Linked DNA regions of Oryzias latipes. The main gene of each other region encodes a partner of the protein of the gene in region 3 in a complex. Links are inferred from orthologs where the notes say so. Each region holds a gene or a part of one and is shown on either strand. Other genes may lie near its edges.

What was found.
Region 1: pigh (region 3) and dpm2 share a complex: the UniProt entries of both Homo sapiens proteins name them as parts of the glycosylphosphatidylinositol-N-acetylglucosaminyltransferase (GPI-GnT) complex. The link is inferred for Oryzias latipes from reciprocal best matches to the Homo sapiens genes PIGH and DPM2.
Region 2: pigh (region 3) and pigp share a complex: the UniProt entries of both Homo sapiens proteins name them as parts of the glycosylphosphatidylinositol-N-acetylglucosaminyltransferase (GPI-GnT) complex. The link is inferred for Oryzias latipes from reciprocal best matches to the Homo sapiens genes PIGH and PIGP.

Annotation. Positions count from the first base shown.
Region 1 is NC_019870.2:30,338,791-30,344,589, reverse strand, and holds dpm2 (dolichol phosphate-mannose biosynthesis regulatory protein), read right to left. Parts: upstream 3,843-5,799; 5' UTR 3,655-3,842; coding exon 3,556-3,654; intron 2,143-3,555; coding exon 2,053-2,142; intron 1,977-2,052; coding exon 1,874-1,976; intron 1,779-1,873; coding exon 1,723-1,778; 3' UTR 1,558-1,722; downstream 1-1,557. Other genes in the region: proteasome subunit beta type-7, read left to right, coding at 47-158. UniProt on the Homo sapiens protein: Regulates the biosynthesis of dolichol phosphate-mannose. Regulatory subunit of the dolichol-phosphate mannose (DPM) synthase complex; essential for the ER localization and stable expression of DPM1.
Region 2 is NC_019877.2:8,246,589-8,252,653, reverse strand, and holds pigp (phosphatidylinositol N-acetylglucosaminyltransferase subunit P), read left to right. Parts: upstream 1-2,208; 5' UTR 2,209-2,464; intron 2,465-2,543; 5' UTR 2,544-2,546; coding exon 2,547-2,628; intron 2,629-3,624; coding exon 3,625-3,697; intron 3,698-3,810; coding exon 3,811-3,929; intron 3,930-4,246; coding exon 4,247-4,362; 3' UTR 4,363-4,844; downstream 4,845-6,065. Other genes in the region: rexo4 (RNA exonuclease 4), read right to left, coding at 875-1,021, 1,094-1,413, 1,527-1,742; putative nuclease HARBI1, read left to right, coding at 5,139-5,826. UniProt on the Homo sapiens protein: Part of the glycosylphosphatidylinositol-N-acetylglucosaminyltransferase (GPI-GnT) complex that catalyzes the transfer of N-acetylglucosamine from UDP-N-acetylglucosamine to phosphatidylinositol and participates in the first step of GPI biosynthesis.
Region 3 is NC_019882.2:21,958,987-21,964,938, forward strand, and holds the start of pigh (phosphatidylinositol N-acetylglucosaminyltransferase subunit H), read right to left. Parts: upstream 3,664-5,952; 5' UTR 3,408-3,663; coding exon 3,231-3,407; intron 1,221-3,230; coding exon 1,011-1,220; intron 930-1,010; coding exon 846-929; intron 778-845; coding exon 703-777; 3' UTR 663-702; intron 1-662. Other genes in the region: zinc finger FYVE domain-containing protein 1, read left to right, coding at 4,150-4,220, 4,721-5,198, 5,283-5,526, 5,600-5,854, 5,942-5,952. UniProt on the Homo sapiens protein: Part of the glycosylphosphatidylinositol-N-acetylglucosaminyltransferase (GPI-GnT) complex that catalyzes the transfer of N-acetylglucosamine from UDP-N-acetylglucosamine to phosphatidylinositol and participates in the first step of GPI biosynthesis.

The DNA.
Region 1 (5,799 bases), on a different chromosome or scaffold from region 3:
CTCAACAGTGCTGTGTCTGCAAACGTGTCTTGCTTGTGTTTTTCAGAGAGGGACAGTACAGGTACAAGCCGGGAACTACGCCTGTCCTGACCAAAACCCAAACTCCTCTCAGTCTGGACGTGGTCGACGCAACTGTTCAGATGATGGACACTGAATAAAAAATGTCTACATCCGGCATGTTCAAATATGCAACGACGTCCGTACATGCAAGAACATGGCTCACATTTGATCACCTCCTTTTCTTACCGGCATTCGTCCTCAGCAGTATCTAACGGATCTGTGTTAGCATGACCAATGGAACACGCAAAGTGAAATGCTTGATCCGTTCCATGAGGAGAGTAGGAGCCGCAGTATGAATCCTTCTGTTCGCACATTTGAACATGTTTGTTTCGCTGAAGTCAAATAAAATCAAAACAGTTGAAAAATACTGTGAAAAGTGTTGAAGTTACAGTTACGGGTTTTGTTCATGGATTCTGGGTGTGTCGGTGGGCGGCTCTAGATATGAGGGTGTGAGGCCGTAACCCCTGTGCTTAGATGACCCCCCCTTCCATTGACGTGTTCCCCCTACCATGACAAAGGTGGATAAAGGTGGAAAGATTTCATGTAATCCATGGACACCAGTGAAGATCACAAATCATTGAAGAAAAAAGGTTCAGAGCTCTGTCTAGTGGGTCTAGATGACCCAACTCCCAATGGTAAAGTGCCTAGGATAGAACAAGAGTTAACCAGTGACTGTGTATGGAGACCTGGACTGGGCACGCCCCTCCCCCTGGCGTTCCAAACAGGAAGTATCTGCTGGTTCCAAGAAACCAGAATCCCGTACATGTCTATAGAAATGACCAGATGTTCCTCAGTCATTCTATTGGTCAGAAGAAGCGTTCTGGATCTGATACCTTTTGTTAATATATTCTTAATAATCCTCATTTGCTTTCTTTATTCAAGATCTCAGCTGACCAATCAGATCCCTCAGTAAGAGCTTGTGGTGCCTGCTGCCCCCCACCTCTAACGTTTGACAGATTTTCCTGAGCTGCTTTCAGGTCCTGAGCTGAAGGGGTGTGGACTTCAAACAAGCTTACTTCTGATTGGCGACAGTAGTTGCCATAGAAACGACCACTCGCACCAACCACTGTCGTCTGGCTCCAACATGGCGCAACCGTATCGAGGAAAAACGGCGACTGAATCGGGTTCCTTTAGCTGGAGCTGGGGGTTAGGTGTTTTCTACGGGTGGCTCACCCTCGATCAGTCCAGTTCTCTATACAGTCAATGGTTGAAACCGATTTTCTACTATTTTAATTTGTGATTTTATTGATGTAGAGAAAACAGTTAGGTAACATGGAGCAAGACAAGAATCCAGCCCATCAGGAGGGTTAAAGTCCAAACTAGTGAGAAATGACAAAAGTATTCAGACTTTTGAAACACCTAAAGACTCCACCCACCGTACTCATCTGGTGTACAAATGCTGCCTCCACACAGTGTAGATACTGAAAACGAGTGACTCCCAGCATCATGGAGGTCAGCAGAATGCTTGGCAACCATTAAAACATCTGTAGGACGGGGTGATCTATGTGAAAAGGTTTATTTTTCAGTTTGAAACCCAGACTTCACTCACAGCCAGCACTCATACCCACAACACCAAGCACATGTTCTGTCAAAAAGATTCCCAGAGGAGGAAAATGAATCCATGTGACTTTATAAAGTTCCATTTTCCCATGGAAAGTGGGACTAATCCACTTTCTTTGGCTTGTGATTCATCCACACAACAGCTGCTGTGAAAGCCCCTGCAGAGAAGACAAAAACCAGAGGATCACCGCGTCCGTCTGGCATGAAGACGTGTAGACAGCGGGGTCATGAGGTCATGAGACGGCATACTGACCTATCATGAGGAGCAAAACCACTGCTGCAATGCCCGGCAGGATGACAGAGTACTCACGAGGAAGGAAGTACTGCTGCAGCATGTGGTCACCGTCCATGAACGGCTGCAATTGGTGCAAATCACAGTATTAGAGTCCACCTTTGTCCTACAGATATTTAAGAGGCTCCATCAGGACGTACCAGAACCACGACCCACACAGAGTAGTACGAAAACAGAGCCAGGCTGAACAGAACCAGACCCATGCCGACAGCCTGATCCACTCCAGTGGCCTGAAAACCAAGAGCAGAAAAAGTTCATCAGTGACCCAGCTTTGGACCGGGTCTCAGACTGCGGGTGCCGCAGCAGTTAAAGTCAATGAGTTCTATCGCTAGAGGAGACGTCATGGGATTCTTCATGGGAGGAGAGCACCGCCATCTTGGTGAGGTCAAGTCACTGCTGCAGTTCAGCATGTGAACTCAAAATCCCAGTTCATTGTGCGGATTTCAACTGTCAAAATCGAGGAAATTAGTCCACGAAGCAGGAAGGCAGAACATTTCACAGGTAAGTATTTTAATGTTTTTCTTTTAATGCTGGAGGGGCTTCATGAATAGAACACATGTAGACATGCATGATGCTGCAGGGCTGTTATCAACATGCTGCATGATGTACGGAGAATTTGCTGTCGACATAAATGTAAACTTTATTGTGTTAAACCTATATACAGTATACTAGGACTAGGCTATTATAATAATATAGATTTATACATTTCTGACTCAGACTGAACTTTTCTTGCAGGTTTCTAATAGATTCAGACTTCAGGAAAAAGTGGATCTTAGCAATAAAAAGAGCTAACCCAGATGGATCACTGTGGTACCAACTAGTGATACAGTCTGGATATGTTCAGAACATTTGTGGAACCAGACTTTGATGAGAGGCCAGAATGTTAGCCTGAAACCCGACACCAAGGAATCTGTGTTACACAAACTGATCACTAACATGAATCAGTTAATCTATTGTTTCTCTTTGTTTTTTCAGGGTAAATCTGTTATTGACTTTTGGACTTATTGTTGACTTATTATTGATTTATTCTTATAATTTATTATTATTATTGAATTACTATTTATTATTATTATAATTATTGACTTATGTATATATTGTTATTATTCATTATTATTATTGGCTTCCTATTGACTTATTGTTGGGCTTTTCTAAATAATTTAAATTACGTTTCAAAGAGGTCTAAAACTTCTACATGTTTAAAAATTATTTTTAAAAATTCTTTGTAATAATTTTTTTTGTAAGAAGTCCTGCAACTCTGCATTTTTCATTAAAGTTTGAGCTTTTAATGCTGCCTGTTTCTCTTATTTAAAAACAAATGATGCATATACATAAATGATATACATATATATTTATATATAGGTATAAATATATATAAAAGCTACTAGATGCCACTAAAGGCAATAGAAATCATTGTCACGTGGGCGCTGACGACCTCACCAAGATGGCGTCGCGCTCCGCCACCGTCGGCCAGGCTTCCCAAGCGGGTGTGTCTCCTCTAGTGATAGAACTCATTGGGTAAAGTTTCTGTGGGATGTTCTTCTAACTTCAGAGTAAATAAATACAATGAAAAAGGCCAAACTGACTACAGCTGCGGCTTCAATCTCAGCGTTTTTTCATGTGCGGTGAATAAAAATGTCAGAGACCAAACGTCCGTTTTGTCCGCATTCCCGTGAGGAGAAAACATTCCTGTCGTTCTTCTGAAGGCCGGTTAGGGACCCGGTTAGGGACCCGCGGATCGTCATTAAGCCTTAAGCGTCAAGAGCTCAACGCGAAACTTCAACCTGCTTTTAGGCACAATTCTTCATGACGGCGGCCTGTAAAGGTCAAACCACTGCGACTGTTTATCCCCGTAAAATCATGTTTGTAAAGGGATTTCCTATAAAATAAATTACTTAAACGCCGCTCACCATTGTTGACAGGCGGTAGAACCACGTGACCTCCGTTTTTCCGGTTGGTTTATGTCCGGCTGCAGCTGCAGGAGAAAGTCCCGTGACCGCCCCCTGCTGGTCTGGAGTAACATGACAAATAGAAAAACGTCCCGCCTGATTTTGTTGTTTTTTACATTTTCTGTCTTGTGGGATTCCTGAAGCAGCAAACAGTTGGCGTTTCGACATCCTGGCCATTTGGAAAGGAATATTTTTTATGACTTTAGGATTTGTGTTGAGATTCATGCTGGAGTCTCACAGGAACGTTCATATTCCATAAATCCATTTTCTGCACTAACCCACTTCAACACGACAATCTGGCTCCAAGAGATCGGCTTTAGTCATGGTGGTCATCCTCAGGCAAAGCTACATTATTCCCTGGACTTATGGACCGGACCATCCAGGAGTCATGGACCGGACAACGCTTCTGCAGTGATATGAGTCATCACTTTTTTGATTAAACTAAAGAAATGGTAGTTACTGGTAAACACTCCTACCAGTAGAACCCGCTCATCCACATTCAAAATAATGAAATAAAAACTATCCAATACTTTCATAACAAATCTCTAAGAAACAGAAATCCGTACATGATGAACCTTTTTTTTTAATCCAGGTCAGAAAGTAGATCATCAAGAACAAAGATTTGTTTAAAAAAATAAACAAATACATTTTCAGAGAGCTTAAGTGTCGACATTCCGCTAAATAAATACATAGTTCAGCGATACAGTTCAGAAAAGTTGCTTTTGAGTTCAAAGATTTTAAAATACATGTTTTTAATTTACAATGCAGTCCCAATGTTTAGACCAGCTAGTTGGTGTGCAAACAAGAGCAAATGTTGCAGACACTGATGCATTCATGTTCCTGCAGTGATAAATGCTCTTTGCTGCTGAAAAAGATCATTCATTAAGAACAAACTACAGATCTGACGGTAAAGACATTTGACCACTAAGTATTTGCTCATCACTCATTATTTAATTAGAGTAAAAAAACTATAGAAACACAATCCAGAACTGTTGCCCTAGTTGAGGCCTGGCCTGGGTTGGCCCGCCCTACTGCCAACTCCTGGGGCTACCGGGTTGATCCTGCCAGCAGAATTCACTCGTCTGAAAAATGAACCATCCAAGTCAGTTTGGTAAAGCAAGAACTGACCTGCGTGGAGAAATGAATCTGAATAAGATAGTCAAAACATAGCCAGTTGACAGTTGACAGTTGCTCTACGTCAATGTTACCCTACTTTTTATTTAAATACTTAAGACTAAATAATAATGGATTGATCTGCTTTTCCAGACGCTCAAAGCGTTAACAGTGAGTCCATCATTCATTCATACTTGGTGATGGTAACTACTGATGTAGCCTCAGCTGCCCTGGGGCAGACGGACAGAGGCGTGGCTGACAGTTGGCGCCTACGGCCCCTCTGACCATCACCAGGACATTCATGCACATTCATGCACCAGTGGAGGCAGGGAGGGTGAAGCGTCTTCCCCAAAGACACGACAGTTGGCTGGGGGGAGAGGGGATCGAACCAACGACCCTTCGATCATTGGACGACCTGCTCATCTGCCTGAGCCACTGCCACCCATCCATCCATATATCCATCCATCCATCAAATTTCAGAAGTTTATTCACTTTCCCACCAGAGACAACAACACACTGGATCAAGTCTACTGCAACATCCCAGGTGCATACAAGGCTGCAGCAGCTCCTCACCTGGGCATGTCGGATCACATCTCTGTGGAGCTAACCCCCACATACAGACCTCTGATCTGCAGGACCAAACCAACCATCAAAACAGTTCAGGTATGGACCGAAGAGGCTTCTTCTGCACTACAGGACTGTTTTGAACTCACTGACTGGGAGGTGTTTAAAGATGGCTCAGACCTGGAGGCCTACACAACATCCGTCCTGAGCTATGTGCTGTTCTGCACCGATGCTGTTCTGCCCACAAAGTCCATCAAAGTCTAC
Region 2 (6,065 bases), on a different chromosome or scaffold from region 3:
ATAACTGACAACTATACCGATTTTTTCAAAAACTTGTTTAAAAAGGCAACGGCTGTTTTTCCAACTACTTCCACTTAGGGAGTCTGTTGGAGCCAGTCTGCTGCAGGTTGAGATGAGCATAAACTCTGCAACAGCTATGGCTGCATATTCATCAGGAAGCAATTGCGAAACAATCCGACGATTTTAAGACTCATACTTATGCCCAAAGAGAGCAACACACACGGGAAGTATCCCACTAGATTAAAGAGTTGCTAGGAATGGACTTTTTCAACACTTTTACACATCCGACCAAGAAAACAATGATGAAGAAGAGCAGCAGATGAGATTAAAACAATATACTATAATAATGATTGTTGAGCAAAAATTATCAAAAAATATCAGGACAAAAAGAAGGACTCCAAATTTGAAATATCTGGTTCTCTGTCAGCTTTAGGATCGATTTTAAGGTACTTTTCTTAGTTTAATGAAATTGCACTTTAATTTTAATCAAGCTGGTGTTAGCAGACGACCCTCCCAGAGCCCTCAGATCCAGTTATGCTGGTGCTCCCTGAGGTCATAAACAAAAACCCACAGCGAGGCCACATGGCAGAACTTTGGCCTAAACTCACCTTTTTAGTTTAGCTTTTATGTCGATTTTACATTTCCTCATGTTTTAATTTGATTTTATGGATTATTTTTTCCTGCTAGTTTTTGTACACAACATGTGTTTATTATAAATACTAATATAATTATTATTTATTTATGTAAAAGACTTTGAGGTGTTTTTTAACAGGAAAAGAGCTCTATAAAGAAAGGTGAATTTCAACTAGAGTTGATCGATAGCAAATGAAGGTGTGGCATTTTGACCGTAAGAACACAAAACAGTTTCTCTTACCCATCAAAGGCGTTCTCTTTTACCAGAACGCTATCTACGTTCTTGCTTGTTTTCATGCCTTGTTTCCTCCTCATGATCTCTGCAGCCTCGGCTCCCATCGTTTCCTCAATATCGTCAGGGTCGACGTCATCAAACCAAAGGTCCTCCCTACAGCAGCACAAGCAAAGATTACAAGGCAAACCCGAACTGAAGTCAAGTATTAGCAATAAGGATACATACTCTGTGGGTTTCCTCTCTTCAGTGACGGGCTTCTTTTTCTTGGCTGGTTTCTCATTGTCTGTCTTTTCGTTTTGCCTTTTCCTTGCACCACCAGGTTGCAGTTTGTCTAAGGCGGCGTGGATCTTTGCCTTCACCCCATCCTCCTTTGGGGCATCGCCACTTTTGACTTTTCCCTCTCTGTCTGTGTGCACCTGGCTGGGAGCAGGGCTCTTATTTTGAAACTTTTTAGGCTCATTTCCTTTAAACTTCTTAGGGAAGACACCATTCCGATGTTTTGGTGTAACAGGCTGCTTCTTCTCTGGCTGACTGCTCTTTAAGATCTGCCATGTTCAGGAAACAAAGAAGATAATTACATTTTAAAAGTAAATACATTTTCACATAAGTAGTTGCACAGCTTATGAAGAGCATAGAGTTTAATATTCGTCAGACAAACCTCTTGTAATGCTTTCCAGTTGGAAGAAAACTGTTGGGGATCCTGTGGTGGTGCAGTTTGCTTTGCTCCAGGATTTTCTAGATTTTTCTTGTTTAGAGTCTTTTGGGAAGTTTGTTTTTTACGATTATGCTTTATAAAAAACTTCTTCCTTTTTTCTTTGGACGTCAGCTGTTGCGTTTTTCCAGCAGGAGTTTCCTTTCCTTTGATTTTAGACATCGTGGTCGCACTTCTTTAAACTTCAGGGAGTATTTGCTGTGTTACACAGCCACGTTTTTGAAAGAAGCCAATTTTAGGTGAGATGTAAACGAAAACAGTTAACGCTGTGTCACATACATATGTATCCCAGATAAAGGGCACACACTGTTTCTATTAGCAAAAATAGCCACTTTATTATCCTCCCAAACAGGGAAAAATTATGTTTCAAGTTGTTTACCTTCACATTCACGAAGCCATGCTGCGGTGCTTCTGGAATGAGTAACAGTCAAATATGTTCGTCAGGAAAAAAGTAACATGATTCGTTCGAGCGGCAGAAAGTTCTCCCTTCGTTGATTTTTTTATTTCTTTCTTTTTTCAAGCTTGAAAATAGTTTTTAATATCTATACATTACTAACAAAGAACACAAGATTGATATGTAATTTTGCTTTATTTCTTTAAAGTCTTTTGTTCCTGATGTACAGTTTCTGACCGAACTCATTTAGGTGATGGACTAACGTTTTGTTGACAGCAGTCAGCTAGGTTTTGGCGTAATATGATTAGATGCACTTTTTACATTTTTATTTATGTTTCGTTTGAAATAGTAGAATTGGATTTTATCTATCGTTGAACCTAGCTGATGGTACGATATAAACAAGCTATTTGAGAAACATTTAAACTGTTTTTAGGGGTTTTTGTAAACTTGCTGCTCTTCTTACGAACCAAAATACACTTATTATCTGTCGGTAAGTTTAGTGACTTTTTGTCATTGTTTATTTTCGATTATTTTACCCAATAGATGGTCTGTTTGTGTTCTGGTTTCAGATCATGGTTGAAAACTCCCCATCACCTATGCCAGAGAGAGCAATCTATGGGTTTGTTCTCTTCCTTGGCTCCCAGTTTGGCTTCTGTAAGTTAAGTCCCATCACATCATGTTCTTTCAAATTAGAAGCATAGTTCTATTTGCAGAAGATGTCATTCAACGTAAAATGTTGTGGAATTACTTATCTCTACGGCTCTTGGTAATATAGCAAAGACATTCTGTTCCTTTTGTTTATGTTGCCATAAATCTAATCTCATTGAAATTTGTAAATGTGCAGGACGACTCACTTGAGTTAAAATAGAATAACCGTTTCTCGGTGGAGATTTAAATCTCCTTACTACTAGGGTGATAAATAGTTGACCACCTGAAAAACAGACTGCCATTAATTCAATGTGACTTCACTTAAAAAAAACAAGCCTTTTTGGATTTTTTTCTCAATAGAATTCTTTCAATAATTAGTTTTTTTTAAGTTATTTATATCTCAAGGTATACATTAGTAAAAGGTTATTGTGTTTATATATATTTTTAAAAATTCAGCTGAAAGATGGCAGGATGGTAGTGACTTAAATATTGTAAATTACTTTAAAACGCTAGTTGTGTGTTGTTGTTGTTTTGGGTAAAAAGTAGGATTTTTTTAATAGGCCTGTTATGTTCATATTTAGGCTTAAAACTACACAATTTAATAAGTCGGCAAAATTGTATTAAGCCAAATGAAGAAGTCTTGTTTAACTTTTAAATTGGATTGTCTTTTTCTCATTTAAAAGAAAATTCTTCTAATAATCCCAATAATTCTAAAAAGATTTCAATTTGGAATATCACATAACTCTGTTGCTTATAAATGAATATTTACACTTTCCTCAAAGGTTGTCTTTTTTATTGGTTGGATGGTCTTTCTGTATGAAAAAGCATCAGATTTAAAAATAAATTGAAATGAAAGGACATATGTTTATACATAAATGTAAGATAATGTAACAGAACAGAAGTAAAAATAGTTCGTGAACAATTTGAAAAAAAAGTCTATCCTAAAAGAGTATCAAAGAATTCTCTTAATAAAATATGTTTGTTCTGTTTCTTTTCCCAAAGTTCTGTACTGCTTGTGGGCATACATACCAGAGGAATGGCTTCATTCTATAGGGCTCACTTATTGGCCTCAAAAGTAAGTAGCAACAATATGACAAGTTAGAATTTATGTTTTATGTCTTTTTACAATGAGATTACCCTAGGCTTGTTAGCCTTTGTTTGAATCTTAAAGTGAAATGTTTGATGCAGGTATTGGGCTCTCGCAGTGCCAATATATATGCTGGTGGCAATACTGGTGTTTGTTGTGGTGTTATTTGGGGTCAACATGAGCAACACAGCCCCACTGGACTCTGTGGACAACATCACAGGTGAGTTTATGGCTGCAGGCTAACAGTCAGCGTAAATCACAGAAAAGCTGTTTGAAGTGAAATTATATTGAATTTTAAAAAAAGGAAGTAAAATCACTGCTAGGAGTAATACAACCGAACTAGCTTTAACATGCGCTAATTGCAGCTGCATTTTTCTAAAAAAGGAACTGTACCTCACATAATAAAAGCATATACTTTTAAAATAAATGAATACAAATAAGGGTGAGTAATTTATGTCAAAAAGGTCGGATATTATGTCAAAATTAAGAAAACACCACCAAGAAAACAGCTTTAAGTGTCTTCTTTGTGTCTTTTAGATATTTATGCACTAAAGCAGAGTGAAGAATGCCTGCAGAAGGGGGGAATACCTCGAATAAAGGATGTCTCCATCAGTGATGTCAACAAAATGTTTTATTTATCACCCAAAACATAACAGTCTGCTGCTGGGTGTTTTGTGGTTTCTCTGTTCATTTATTAATAATCTGGGGGAACCTTTCTGATGGTGTAATATGCCAAATCTGTTCGCTTTTGCAAATTTGTATGCAAAGTTAACAGGTCTGGTTAGTGGGTTTGTATGTAACTTTTGCACTGTGACTTTGCTATTTACCTTTTAAATTTTTTTTCTTAATTGATCAAGATGTTTCCATCATACCAATAAGAAAATATCACTTAAATATGTTCATTTACAGTATGTTTCAGTGCATTAAAGATGAGGTATTTTTCCACAAGATAAACTCAACTTTTGTTATTTTAGACAAAATAGATAAAGTTTCAAAGCTGAACCAAGTTGTGTTTATAGTTTCTGGCTAAACATAAAATAATATATATACTGTATATCTTGTTGTTTCATTGTTGCCTTTGTATTTTTGTACAATTCAAAGATGACAAAAGTGCATAAAAGATATTTTAAAAAAAGATTGGGGGTCCTATTTCCCTCCTTTTCTGTTTACACTTCATTTTATTACAAATAAGGAGATTTTTTGGTGTTTCATTTTGAAAATTGTCCTGTGTGTCATTTATTGTTATTGGCACAAAGATCTTTAAATGTACAGCAGGGGGCAGTAGTGAGTTTGGTGCTGCGTTTTGTTAACTTTATTGATAGACGAAGAAAAGCAATAACAGGGTGCTGCTCCTCTTCCAAGTATTCCACATTTTTGTTGTTTAGTTTTGTGCTTATTGTCTTCAAATACACGTTCCAAACAAACAAAAATGACGTTTGCTGTTCCGGTGTGGCTGGCGGTGCACGAGCTTCTCCTGGAAGAAGAAGCGGCGGAGAAGGAGAACTCGACCTGTTTTGACGAATTCAACGACGCCGCTTTGTTCGAATACTTCCACCTCACGCGGCCCTGCATCGCTTTCATCGTCGACGCCGTTCGAATCCGCATGAAAACGGTCTCCTGCAAGAAACCCTCGCCTCCGGTGGACGCGTTCGTCATGGTGGCTCTTAACTACTTCGCGCATGGCGCGTTCAGCCCGCTCGTGGTGCAGAAAGTGGGCTCGTGCCTGCACGCCAGCCTCACGAGCGTCGCCAGCTCAGCATCGGGGGTCATCGCGGGGATGTCGGACGTGTTCATCTCTTTCCCTCTCACCGCGGAAGCCAGGATTCAAAACGCCGCCGTCATTAAAGAGTTCTGCAAAATCCCCAACGTCCTGGGAGCCATGGCTCCTGCCCAGTTTAAGATCAGGGCTTCTCCGTATGAGAAGGAGTTCTTTAAGTCCTTCATCAACGCGCAGGGCTTCACGTCGGTGGTGAGCCAGTTCATATGCGATTCCCAGGGCAACATCCTGAGTGTGGAGAAATGCTGCGTAGGGAGCACTTCGGAGCAGGAACTCTGGGAGTCCTCATTCAAAGGCAGGGAGGTGGAGGAGGATCTGCACGGACCGTACTGGTTAATCGGTAAGACAATATGAGGAAGCACTTCTTTAAAGTCTGAATCACAGCTGATGCCCCCTAAAGAGATTCCAGCAAATATACACATCCCAAAACAAACTGTTTATTGAACTCTCTCTCTAATAATACCTCAATTATGCACCAAGTGCTCCTCTAAAGAATAAAAATGTCTAAAAGGAAAATCTTTAAAAAAGCAATAGTTTGTATTCAAACAGTGGAAAGATGGAGCTCAGTAACAGGATGTA
Region 3 (5,952 bases):
GCGTCGCGTCGAAATCTACTCGACCAATGAGAATGGCGCTTTTGCACACGTGTCTGGAGCTTCTGAAGTTACAGTAAAACACAACTTGGGGGCGCTCAAACACAAAACTGCCTTGCTGAGCACACATACCAGCGAAGAAGATAGACGCCAAGTAGCGTCTACACTGCCGCGAAGCAATAATGATGGACATTCTAAAATATCCCCGAACCAAGCACCAGTTGGAGCTACTGGTGCTTGAAATATTCATGTTTTCTTTGTTTGATTCTGACAAGCGCGTAAATACTTGCTCTCTTCTTCTGAGTTAAAAGCGACTTTCAGAAGCGTAAAGTTGCGCAGCGCCACCTTGTGTACAGGAGTATTTCTGTTTTACATTAAGCGCCATCTAATGTCAGTGAATGAAATTGCATGTTCACTCCACTCATCGTCAGCGAAAATCGCCTGGGTGTGAACACAAAAAACGTGGCGAAAAACGCTGGCGAATAACGCCTGGCGAATATTCGTCCCGGTGTGTACGGGCCTTGACTCTGAAAGCTGCATTTGATTAGTGAAAGAGGCCTGTGATGCTTTAGAATGACTTTTGAAATATTAGGACAAAACATATTTGGCAGAAACCATTAACAAGTTCCTGTACTCTTGTCCAATTTAAAAGGATTCAAACATACCAGAAGCAAAGTGTGGTCAGACAGACGTCCCCTCCAAGCTTCATGGAACCTTGGACAGGATCTCCTGACAGCTGCGGTAAACCTTTACCAAACAACCGAGTCTAGGCTTTGAGCTCTGAAAGACAAAGTCCTGGTGAAGATCAACCTCTGGCACTGTTCCTCACACCATGAGCCTGCACTGACCTGGAACAAGGGCACCACACCCGCCACGGCGTCTGGCTCTGCCGGCTCCCTCAGCAGCACACACAGGTGGTAGATGATCTGATGCTGGAATGAAGGACACACGGCTTTTACACCTGCGTCCCAGAGGTGACCCATGATTACAATGACATTGGTCCACAGAAGCACCATGTAAACAGCCTCGTTGATGACGATGTCTTTAATCCGGCCCATCTCTATGAAGGACGTGATCTCGCGGCCTGAGGCGTAGCTAGAAGACACCTGGATGCCCAAAGACCCGATGACTAGAAGGGACTCGTGGTCGACCTTCACAAAGTGGATGTGAAGAACCATGCCGACCAAGGTGACGAGGATGGCACTGGACAGAACCGCCGTGTTCTACGGGACAGGAAACATGAGCTTTTATGGTTGGCGGTGGTGGGAGGAGTTTATGTCTCAGAGTTCCTACCTTTGCTTTTTCAAACTTCAGCCTGAACTAGAATAGATACAAATATTTATTCATTTGTTTTGTTTTTCTCCTTCTAGAGCAGGGGTCGGGAACCTTTTTGGCCGAGAGAGCCATGAACACCACATATTTTTCAATGTAATTTAATGATAGTATACAATATTGTAGCGTACCTTTCCCACACTGAGGCATGGAGACTTAACCTCTTTTAAGGTTCTTTATTCTAGTTACTCCAGGCCGTAACCAACGCCACACAACTTGTTCAGCAATACAATATGTTTAAAACTAAAAATACAAGTGAATGTGTGTATTTTGCGTAATTTCAACACGTTTCAAGTACAATAAGTACATGCACGTTCATGTTTGGTGTTACCAAGTGAAGGAGAACAGTAATAAAATCAGGTTTCCCCCAGAAGAACAGTGATTGATTCCTTATTATTTTACGTTATCACTTCATTATTATTATGAACCCGCTGTGGAGTAGAGCTGTGACGGTGTGGGATTTTTGATCACCGTGGTGATGCGGTTATCGTCACACCCTTAGTCTTAATGTTCTATAGATGTGAGAAATGCGAACACTGTCAGTACAGCAGTGCTCACACGCTGCAGTGTGTGGTATGTGACGGACAGCGTGTTCTAAGCTCTGACACTCAGTGTGCGTGTCACCTTGCTACCCCCCCCTCTCAGAGACGGGGGCGTGCAGCTGCAGGGACGGATGGTTCACAGTTTGAGGCTGCTACAAACTCTGTGATGTAACACATAATAGGAAACCAATAGTGGCGCAGATTTTTTTTTGTCCAAGCACCGCTACTACTACTGCGCCCCCCCCCCCCCCCCCCCCGGCATCACATCGCGCCTGAGAAGGACTGGTTTAATGAAAACATTGTTTTTATAATTAAAGATTTGTCTGCGAGCCAGATGTGACCATCAAAAGAGCCAGATATGGTTCGTGATTTAGAGGTTATTTCTGTTTTGCATTTGTGTCACCCGAGCAAATGCACCAAAACAGAACAGTGAATCAAATGAAAAGGTTTGTAAAGTCTCAAAGCAGCCTGTGTGTCAGATTAAGAACTAAATTAAATCATTTCTCTCTGCAGATTACTCCAAAATATACTTGGCTTTCTGAAAATGTAGTGCAACATCAACAACGACAATCCGCCAAAAGCCATTGACATACAGTTGATGCATTGATAAAACAATCCATCTATTGATTCTGTGTTCATATCACAGAAAGCTCAGCTGTTTTGCTGAAAACCAAAGCATAAACCCAACAGCTCTTCGCGTTTGGGTAAACATCACTCATAATTTTGAAATGAATTTCTTGCATTTTGGAGCAATAGTACATTTGAGGAATTTAGATCTTAACTCCATTTCACTTCCTCTTCTGTGTAGTTTTGTAACTTTGCATTATTTATGGGGAATGTTGGACAATTGGGGATCAGTGATGGTTTTACCATCATCATCAACATCATCAGACTGCAGGACATTGGGGACAAAGAAAGGAAAGGAATTGCTTTTATTCTACCATTAAATGGTTTTCTATATTTTAACTTAAACCTAATAAAAGCCTAAACGTTCCTACTTTGATCAATCATTTGTAGCGATGACAAGACACCCTGATCTAACATTTCCCCATGGGAAAGTAAGTTTTGGAGGCTAAAGTTATGCCTGAACAATTATGTAAAGTCAGAGAAGCAAACAGAACCAGCCGGGATGAAGAGCCCATGTGAACGTTATTAAACCAGAGCAGACACAAAACCAGATCCAGAACCAGAAGCGGTTCTGACAATCTACAAGGCAATGTTCCCACAACAATCAAGTCATTTTTCTTTTCCTCCCACCATGACAGACAGACAGACAGACAGACAGACAGACAGACAGACAGACAGACAGACAGACAGACAGACAGACAGACAGACAGACAGACAGACAGAAGGTCTCACCTGTGTGAAGAAGAACAGCAGGTAAGCCAGCAGCCACACCGAGCAGGTGGACGCCAGGACCTTCCCGATGGACACCTTGGGGGAGCTGACAGTGAACTCCGTGCAGAAGCTGGAGTGCCTCTGACATCCCAGAGTAATGGGCTGACCTCTAATGTCAGAGAATGTTTCTTCTTCCATCAGATCAGGAGTGAGGGAAAAAACTCAGAGAGTCCGTTTGGGCTAGCTAGCTAGCTTAAGTTAGCTTGTTGCTTAGCACCTCAACAGCAGACTAATGCCGTTAATTCCACCTGAATACGGGGACTAAAAGATCACACTCAACCCTGTTCATCTGAAAAACAACGTCAACAGTAAAATTTGCAAAGTAAAAACATTTGTGCATAACTACTTCTCATGTAAAAGAAAAAAACTTCTCACGTGACGCAACTTCCGGGTGCTTTTGTTTTTGACACCGGGGCGCTTAAACAAGCACAGGAATCAAAACAGCCGCAGCAAAGATGAATTTAAGTCTATTTGACATTAATTTAATGATCAAAGCCTATTTTATGATATCATATTTCAATTCATCAGAACCCTAAAATAAGCGCAAGTCTCAGTAAGCCACTTTCCGGCAGCCCTCTGTGTACAAAACGAACTTACCCCCAGTAATGACGGCTGTAGCAAAGCATTATGGGTGAGAGTTTTAGGTACAGGGCTTTATGGAGGAACTTCAATGTGGAGATAAAAGCTTTAGATTTATAAATATAAGCAAAAGTAACTTTTACATGTTTGTTTCATGATTCACTTTAAACAAAGAGCTCGACCCTCACTGGAAATGCATTTCCCAAAATGCATTGCGCCGCTGTGACCCTTGACATGGACAACAAAACAAGGCAACCAGCTGATTTTCTCGCGGGGCTGTTGTTTCTTTTTGTAAACATGCATGTTTGACAGCGTGACGCCGCTATCGCTTCCTGCTGAACCTTCGGGGCTAGACTCACTTCCGTGGGACAGGTGAGTCTGTTCAGGTAAGAGCCGATTATGTATTTATTTGGAAAATCAGAGCAAATGTTCTAAACTAAAGCTCCTTACAAATGGGCTGTGTATGTATCTGCTTTCATTCTGGCCCAATTCTTTTTACTGTGCCTCAGCTGTTGGTATTCTTTTAATGCTTTTTTTCTGAATTTTCAGAATGTGTAGTGTGTTATAATGTGTGGTTGGTAACAATTAATCACTGAATGCATTTCTATTCCTACAATCCAACCAGACTGATCTGTCTGAGGCAGAATCTAATGGAATCAACCTTAAAAATTCCCCATTAACCTTTAATTTTTCATACTTTTTTCCATTTCCCCTCCAGGTGTCTGTGTTGTTGGTGGATCTATGAATGGTTGGACCTTCTTTAATGTAAACATTCGTCTACAGGACATCTCATGCACAAACACCTGAGCGACCTGCATGCTCTGGAGTCTTTAACACATCTTTCTTAAAAGTCACTGTTGTTCAAATTTCAGGTCCACAATGAGCGAGCCAGGTTCAGAAATGGAGCAAGGGAGGCCCACGGTCTTGGTCTGTCAAGAGAGCTTTGCCTGTGGGGGCTCAGACGAAGCCACATATGAGTGTGATGAGTGCGGCAGCCTGCAGTGCATCCGCTGTGAACTGGAGCTCCACCGGCAGAAGCGCATGAGAAACCATGACCGGGTTCAGATCAAGGCCGGCCACGTTCCCTTCTGTGACCTCTGTAAGGGGGGCAGGGCCGACGCCACCCGGGTCCGGGCGGCGGTGCGCTGTCAGGGCTGTAAGATCAATCTGTGTTTAGACTGCCAGAAACGCACTCATGCTGGCGTCAACAAGAGGAAGCACCCGCTGACGCTTTATCCTCCGGCCAAGGAAAGCTGCGTGGTGGATGGGGAGATGGAGGTGGAGGCCCTCAGATCCAAGCTGGAGGAGGCGAGCAGCTTCCTGTTAGTCAATGAGAAGGAGGAGGTGCAGGTGGGTGCCAAACAAACCTACTTTGTCCCAAATCCTTCTTCCAGAACATTCCTGATGAGTAAAATCATCTCAATGGGTTTTTAGGTGAAAGATGAAGAGGATTTTGTTAGCAGACTAGGCTGCACACCAGATGAGCTCCTCAAAGTGGTTTCCATCTTTGGAAACACTGGAGAGGGCAAGTCCCACACATTAAACCACACCTTCTTTCTTGGAAGAGAAGTGTTCAAGACCCTGCCCACCCAGGAGTCCTGCACCGTGGGGGTGTGGGCTGCTCTGGATCCTCTGCACAGAGTGGTGGTCATCGATACGGAGGGGCTGCTGGGGGCTGGTATGGAACAAATACCTGAAACTCTTTGTCACTAAGCAAGCAAGCATTCTCAGCTCCCTTCTGTTTTAATTAGGAGCTAATCAGGGTCAACGCCTCCTCCTCAAAGTCTTGGCCATCTCGGATGTGATTATTTACCGAACGCACTCCGACCGTCTCCATGACGACCTCTTCCGGTTCCTCGGCGACGCCTCAGATGCCTACTTGAAACATTTCACCAAGGAGCTGAAGGCGACCTCGAGCCGCTGCGGTCTGGACGTCCCGTTGTCCACACTGGGCCCTGCAGTAATCGTCTTCCACGAAACCGTCCACACCAAGCTGCTGGGATCAGGTTTTCCACCCGTCCTGCAGCCAATCTCCATGTCTGCTGACTTGAATGTTCTTACATGTCTCTCTGTCTTGGTCTGTCAAAATGCAGACAGGCAGTTG